Canis lupus familiaris: one gene and its partner. The main gene of each other region encodes a partner of the protein of the gene in region 2 in a complex. Links are inferred from orthologs where the notes say so. Each region holds a gene or a part of one and is shown on either strand. Other genes may lie near its edges. The genes, in order: LAMP1 and AP3M1.

Region 1 (3,919 bases), on a different chromosome or scaffold from region 2:
AAACCTCCCCAGGCCGGCGACCGCCAGCCAGTCCTCGGGCAAAGGCGACACGACGGGCAACTGCACTGAAACAGAAATAGAAGCAAACGCCCGGGCCTGTGTGATAAACGGGCAAAGGAAATGGGACGCCCTGGACGGCCGCTGGGTCACGGGGCAGGAACTGTAAGGTGCCCTGAGCACCGACACCGTGTGTACCGCCCATTATTTCCGTGACTGTCCGCCTTCGGAGTCCTGAAGCACATTCCAGTCCCAGCATCACAGGCCGCATTCTCACCTCCCTCTTCTCCTTTGTCACTTCTTTCTTCACGGGGAGAAACCTGCGAATTACTACTATTTGCACAACAGCAATACACGCACAAGGAGTTTAGGGGCTGCTCGCTGCCAGCCAGCCCCGCGGACATGGGGAAAGAGAACCGAGCTCTAGCACCGGCCCTGCCCGCCCCCACTGCAGAGCCAGCAGGAGTCTGCGGCCGGGAAGCCGCACCGTGTACTCGGAGCAAGTGGACGTGACACTTGCGGGGAATCGAGCACCGATCGGGAGAGTGGCGGACAGCGGCCCCCAGGTCTGCGCTGGACACAACCAGAGACACCTCCCAGGGGCCGAGCCGCGACGCGCGGACAAGAGCAGGAGGGAGGAAGACGGGGAAGAGGAAAAGGGGAAGGGGGGAGGAAGGAGGGGCGCCGTGACCCTCGCGGCTGCCACGGCTGGAGGTGGCCGAGGCCGGGGACCGTGTCGGAAGCCCAGACCCGGGGAGCCTCCAGGCACGCCGCGCGCGGAGAGGGCTTCGGGGCCCCGGAGCCACTGCTGCCCCCCGGCCCGCCCCGCCCCGGCCCGCCCCGGTCACCGCAGCCCCCGGGGCCCCGCCCAGCTTATCTCGCGAGCACGCACGTCCGGGTCCGGGCCGCCCCCTCGCAGCCGCAGCCACACTCGCCGCGGGTCGGCCGCCCAGGGCGGCCCCAGGTGGGCCTCGCTGCGTCCCCGGGGCGGCTTCTCCGGCTGCAGGCCTCGGCGCGCCCGTCTCCTCCTCCCGCCAACGCCCGGGAGCCGCCGAGGGACCCTCCCTCGCACCCGCCTCCCGCGCCGACGTCCAGGTCCAATCTCCCCGCCCCCTCCCAGGCTGAGAAGCCCGCCCGGCGTCACGTGGCCCCGCGGTCACGTGCCTCCGGGTCACGTGAGAGGCGAGCGCTCGCCTCGGCGGAGACGTCGTGCCCTGTGCTCTCGCGAGGCTCGCGGGGTCACGTGACAGCGCGGGCGCGGCGCGGCCTCACGTGACGGGCGCCGCCGGCCGAAGGCTCTCCTTCCTGCCGCGGGTGCCGCAGCGGCCGGGTGTCTGGACCGCGGGACGCTCGCCCTCACGCAGCCCCCGGCCCGCCCGCCCGCCCGCCCGCCGTCCCCCGGTCAAACCGCCCCGACGCGCTCGGCTCCCGCTCCGGCCTCGACAGCCCTCGCGCCCATGGCGGCCTTCGGTGGTGCCCGGCCGCGGCCTCTGCTCCTGCTGCTGCTCGGTGAGGGGCCGGGGTCGGCGGGGCGGGAGCTCCGGGGCGGCGGGGCCGGGGCCGGGGCCGGGGCCGGGGCGGCAGAGGTGGCGCCCGGGGTCTGGCGCGGAGCCCTCGGGCCCTGCTGGAAGCGCCGGGGCGAGCTGTCAGCCGGGGGCCGCTTCCGTGGTCGGGCCCCTGGGCCGGCTTCTGGGTGATGAGTCGGAAAATCAGTGGTTGGTGGATTTCGGGGCAGCCGTGGCTCAGTCTCGGGCCGCGTGGTGCGTGCGCCCTCCCGGGTGGCCTGCGCGGATGCTCGGATGCTCGGACGCCCGGACGCCCCGCGCGGGGGGCGCTCCCCCGAGGCAGGGGCGCGGATTCGCATCGCCGCGCATCCCCGCCCGGCCCCGGCCTCTCGGCTCCGGCGTTTCCCGGTCGCTGGGTGGGTTCGGGTGCCACGGTTTTGTCTTGCCCCTGCCCGTGTAAGGTCAGCTTTTTGAACCGCGTGAGGAGCCACGAGGGACGGGGACCTTAACTCGGGCAGTCAACCCCGAGCTTTGCCCTTCCCCGGCGGCTGTAATGGTTTAGAGGAGCAACGGCTCGAGCAAGTGTCAGGTCGGGACGGCAGCACTGTCCGCACTAGAATTCGCAAAGGATCCTCGTAGGTTAGGTTTTAAGACTCGCCTTCAGAATGAGGAGTAACGGGCCTCATTTCCTGCATCGTGATAGCTGGGAGTAGTGTGCGTGTTGGAAGCTTTTTGATGCCCGTTTCTTTGGGAGGATTTTTTAGGTTTTACAGTCCGATGAAATCCAGCTTTTAGAAAAGATTTTAAATTTGGGTGTAGGGAGCAGCCCCGGGGGCGCAGCGGTTTGGCGCCTGCCTTTGGCCCAGGGCATGATGCTGGAGACCCGGGATGGAGCCTGCTTCTCCCTCTGCCTGTGTGTCTCTGCCTCTCTCTCTGTGTGTGTCTCATGAATAAATAAAATCTTTAAAAAAAATTTTTTTTTGGATGTAGGCCTTTTAAAAATAATGTTTATTTTGATTCTTTATTTTACCAAGAAGCATCTTTCCTAAAAACAAATTTTTTCGAACATGAAAACTATTAATCTTACCTGCATTAATAATTGGCTAACTCTCAAAGCTTAGTTTGTGTTGGACTATTTGGTAGAAAGCATAGGCGAGAGTGAACTGAAATTGGCCAGCCTTTAGGATTAAGTGTCATTGCGTAATGTGACCCTTTAAACCACTGGTGTCGACTAGATGATTTCCTTCCCCTTTCCAAATGAAGAACTGTCACTTAGGATGTTTGGAAAGTTTTATTCTGTTTAGTATTATTCATGATTGCGGGACCTTTGTCAGTTACTTGGATTGGTCCCCAAATTCTTAACTATATTTGAGGTCAAAACATTTGGGGTCCAAGATTTTGAACTTCTGTTGTTAGGCGCTCCCTTTTCTCTGCATCCATGGGACTTGACTGCATGCATATGTGGCTTGAGCTTTTACTGGAGCATCATTTCAGTTGTGCCGTGATAACCTGTACACAGGTCTCCCTCCCTTATCTTACAGCCCATCCTGTGCACATACATAGTAAGTGCTCAGTGTGTACATGTAAATGCCCAGTTTGACAGCAACAATCCCTAATCAGATATGCATACATCAGCTCCTTAAAAGTGTCCACACTGAGCCCTGCTTCTAAAGGTTGTGTTTCCATGTGAGGGATGAACTTTGGTCTTTTTTTGTTGTTCTTCTACCTTTAAATTTTCGTAGATGATTATGTATTACCGTTTAAGATGAAAAATACTGGATTTAAAAGAAGCCAAGACAAACTAGGAAGTATTTTTGAAAAAAAAAATTCTTTGAAGATTTTATTCATTTATTTGAGAGAGAGCATACACGAGCAAGGTGAAGGAGCAGAGGGAGAGGAAGAAGCAGACTCCACACCAAGCAGGGAATCCAATGCAGGACTTGATCCCAGGACCCTGGAATCATGACCTGAGCCAAAGGCAGACTGAGCCACCCAGGAGCCCCCTCTTATAAAAATTTTAATGTAGAAGTTTATCGACTCGTTCCTTTAGATGGCAGTCTCTTCATTTCAAAGTGAGTCTTTCATAATTCGAAGTATGTTTGCTCACTCAGCAAGTGTTAGAAAGCACGGTTCAGATGTGTCATCCAATCCCAGATTGCTCAGCACCACTCACTGGCTTTGTGACCTTGAGCAAGTTAACATTCCTGTCCGTCCCTTCGTCTCCACAGCTGCACAAAGGAATCATAATAGCATTGACCTGTGGAGGTCGTCATGATAATTTAGTTAACTACAAAGTGCTTGGAGCAGGACCTGGCACATAGCAAGTGCTTGTTAAAATACTTGATGTTTTGTGTCAGGTACTGAGGATTCAGTGATGAACTTGGTAGGTGAGGTCTGAACAGCTCTATTTAAAGTAA
Region 2 (3,819 bases):
AAACAGCTCTGCTCCTGTTAAATAATTAATATAATTCTAGGTTTTTCATGTTGTGTGTTTTTTTTCTCATATAGTTCCATCTACAGAATGCTCTTATTCCTCCCTCTTTCCCTAAATTCTGCTGATTCTTTAGGGCCCTGCATTGGGGCCAAGCACCACAGTTCAGGAGGGATTATTTCATCTACTGAACCATTCTCTTGAATGCACTGCCTTAATAACCTATGTATTTTCATTCTCTATTTTAGTAACTATAAAATACATGTTTATTTTAGAAATTAGAAAGTATTAAGCAAAAATAAAGATAGTATGTTGTTCCTTAGTTGGAGACGGTCATTGAAAATATTTTAGAACTTTTTTGTCTGTAGGAATGTTTGTGTAATTAACAGAAACTTTTATAGTTTTATGTTGGTATTTTTTCCATTTAGTATTATATCATGTGTACTTTCCAATGTCACTGTATTGTTTATAAAGTATGGAGTTGCCTTTTACAATGTTATATTATTATTTACATACTTTAATTTTTTTCTAATCTCCCATCCAGAGTCTAAGTTTTAGGTGCATACATTCTATCTTATCTTTCCTTGAATTTCTCCTAATGCTCAGCTTTGTACAGAAGATGAATAAAGGCCTCTTATAGGCCTCTCTTGTCCCATTTTTTTAGGTCAGTACACTTAGAGCGGGGTTTACAATGGTAGACAGCAGAGCTGGTGTGTTATGTAACATTTCACAGAAATCTTTCTCTAGAAGACTTCAACACTCTCAAAAAATACTGTCATCTGGATGTACCTAATTTCTAGCTATATTCAAGAAATAAAAATTACAAACTTATAACATGGAGCACCTGGGTGGCTCAGTGGTTGAGCATCTGCCTTTGGTTCAGGTCATGATCCCAGGGTCCTGGGATGGAGCCCTGCATCAGGCTCCCTGCTTCTCCCTCTGCCTCTCTGTGTCATTCATGAGTAAATAAATAAACATCTTTAGAAAAAAAAAGAAGCTTAAAACAAAGTACAAGGTCACAATGCATGAGATCTCACTGACAGACTAATTTCCCATCTTTTTGTTTTAATAAATCTTCTGCATGTATAAAACAAAGACTTGGAGGAAATAATATGTACTCTGTGGTGGAGAGTCTTAAATTTTCTATATCCTAGTAATTTGGGGGTAACGACATAATGCTAGTTTTATAATGCTATTTATAATTTTAATTTTTCTCCCAGTTTTATTGAGATATAATTGACATTTAACATCGTGTTAAGTTTAAGCTATACAACATGATGATTTGATACACTTATATACTACAATTATAACCCACTATATTGTTAGTTAACATCTTCATCACATCATATACAATAATGCTAATTTAAATATTAAAATGCCAGTCTATAAATAGATTAAGTGTTCTAAGTAGCTTCACATATAGGCTTTCCTTTTATAGCCTCACTATATTGGCTTCTCTAGGATTAACTGGGAAAATTTAATCAGTCTTATTATTTAGTGTTAAGTAATAGTAACAATGTTATTGTGGTCTTATAGAAAAGCCTATAATAAAAGAGTAATTATCAAGTTTTCTTTATCATTTAAGACCTAGTCTCCTCATGAAAAGAAATACACATTCATTTCAACAATACTACTAACTTTAACTCTGGCCAAACTGAACTACCTTAATTATTTGCCAGATCAGGCAACAAGGAGTTGTTTATAAAGTGTTAATTGCTTAGTTCCTAAGGCAGCACATTTTCACCTTACCTGTAATAGAGTTGACGACAGAACGTAGAATTGTTGGTGGTTTAATCAGTTCTTTCAAAATATTAGATTCAGTAGCCAGTGGAAATCCATTGTCTAACATTTCTTCCAAGAGCTCATATACAATGACCACATTATCCTTAATTGCAGCTTCCGAACATTCACCAAAGTAGTCCTTAACAAAATGTACATAATATTGTACAATGGAAGGCATGGAGAAAGGCTTGCTAAACATTCTTTGTTTAGAAGGATAAACTTACAGTAGCATAATTAATTGTTTAAGATGTTGAAATATGTAAATTAGAAAAAAAGCCTCTATAGTTCTATACGCTATTTCTCAATATCTTCAGATTGAATTGAATTTCCATTACATTGAAACATTAAACTAGGATGTGAACTATTAATTTACTCTGATTGGGTACCCCTAAAACATAGATAAGTTTTCAATTATTTGGTACATTTAGCAAGATAATAAAATGTAAATATTAAGACGATTACATAACCAATAAAAATCTTGGGGCCATTCAGAGAACTGTATGTGGAGGGCATTACTGTTTCCTGATGACACAATTTGTAATACATATAAAAAATATGGCTTCCATGACCATGAGATTACGGTGTTCTACTGAAATAGTGAATGGAACAGCCATGTATACTGCTATACACCCTACAAAGAAAGGGTTTATGAATTTATTCTTAGTTGAAAAGAAGAAACAGGATACATCCAAAGCTGATTACTTAGAGAATATAATCATTTATCTCACCCCCAACTAACTTTAACTTAAATTCAAAAGATTTGATGAGTAACCAACCTGAAAAGTGTCAGCAACTCGATGTAGGAACTCAATTACAAAGAGAGGTGGCACTTCAGTCTGTATGACAGACACAAAGAAGAGCTTATCCCTGTAGATACTGATGAGGTAGTGATGAGGTGTTGAAATGACAGGTGGTACATTTTCAACATCAGCAGCTTTCTCTTGAGCTTCAAAGAAATAATCACAGACAGACTGGCTCACAACGCTCTTCCAGTGCTTCTCTAGAAATATGTCACCGGAACAGTTTATGAGAAATAGACTGTGGATCATTTTCTAGGGGGGGGAAAAAGTTTAAATTTAGTGTACATCAAAAAGTATCCTTGTACTATTCTGATACCCAAACCAGACAAAGGCAATACAAGAAACTATAGACCAGCATCATGTAAGAATAGTTATAAAAATCCTTGACAAAATACCAACAAACTAAATCCAGCAACATATACAGATTACACACCTTGACAAATGGGATTTATTCCAAGAATGGAAGACTGGTTCAACATATGAAAATCAATCAACGTAACACACAGTATACATAAAAGACAAAACATATAATCATTTCAAAATGTGTAGGAAAATCATTTGATAAAGTCTAGCACTTGCTTATAATAAAATGACTTAAACTAGAAAAAGAAACACTTTAAAATGGTGGGTTTTATAATACGTGAATTATATTTCACTTACAAAATATTCTTACTATGACACACAAATCTACTTCCAGGTGGATTAAACATAAATGTGTAAAAATGTGCACCAAAAACACACATAAAAATGTAATGTTGTAGTGAAAACCTGGAACAACTCAAATATTTATTAATAGTACTATGGAAAAATAAACTATAGTATATTATTAAAATGAAACATTATATAGCAATGAAAACAAATAACCTATTGTTAAATTAAGCAAATACGGATGAATCTTACAAATACAATATTGAACAAACAAGCCAGATGCAAAAGGATACATAAGTATGATTCTATTTATATGTGGTGCTAGAACAGACAAAATTAATCTATGATTTAAGAAATCAAATGCCATCTTTTATGGAGGAGAGAGGGAGGCAGTGACTAAGAAGGGATGGGGGATATTTCCTAAGGTGCTTATAAAGTTTAATTTCTTGATCTAGATGATAGTTATAAGTTATATTCATTTTGATAATTCATTGGGTTTTATATTGTGACATACAATTTTCTGAGTATAACTTTATGTCAAATAAAAACTTTATTATCCTTGCAAATGGGGGATAGTAGAAAAATATCTAAT

What was found.
Region 1: the proteins of AP3M1 (region 2) and LAMP1 are in contact, whole or in part, in a cryo-EM structure (PDB 9C5A), measured with the Homo sapiens proteins. The link is inferred for Canis lupus familiaris from reciprocal best matches to the Homo sapiens genes AP3M1 and LAMP1. Residues at the interface, in NP_001307192.1 of Homo sapiens: Glu178, Tyr180, Phe181, Asp182, Gln381, Val389, Asn390, Arg391, Leu392, Phe402, Lys403, Gly404, Val405, Lys406; in NP_005552.3 of Homo sapiens: Ser410, His411, Gly413, Tyr414, Gln415, Thr416, Ile417.

Annotation. Positions count from the first base shown.
Region 1 is NC_049243.1:60,834,218-60,838,136, forward strand, and holds the start of LAMP1 (lysosome-associated membrane glycoprotein 1), read left to right. Parts: upstream 1-1,254; 5' UTR 1,255-1,454; coding exon 1,455-1,506; intron 1,507-1,851; exon of another isoform or gene 1,852-1,963; intron 1,964-3,919. UniProt on the Homo sapiens protein: Lysosomal membrane glycoprotein which plays an important role in lysosome biogenesis, lysosomal pH regulation, autophagy and cholesterol homeostasis.
Region 2 is NC_049225.1:25,262,060-25,265,878, forward strand, and holds part of AP3M1 (AP-3 complex subunit mu-1), read right to left. Parts: intron 2,832-3,819; 5' UTR 2,829-2,831; coding exon 2,556-2,828; intron 1,919-2,555; coding exon 1,747-1,918; intron 1-1,746. UniProt on the Homo sapiens protein: Part of the AP-3 complex, an adaptor-related complex which is not clathrin-associated. The complex is associated with the Golgi region as well as more peripheral structures.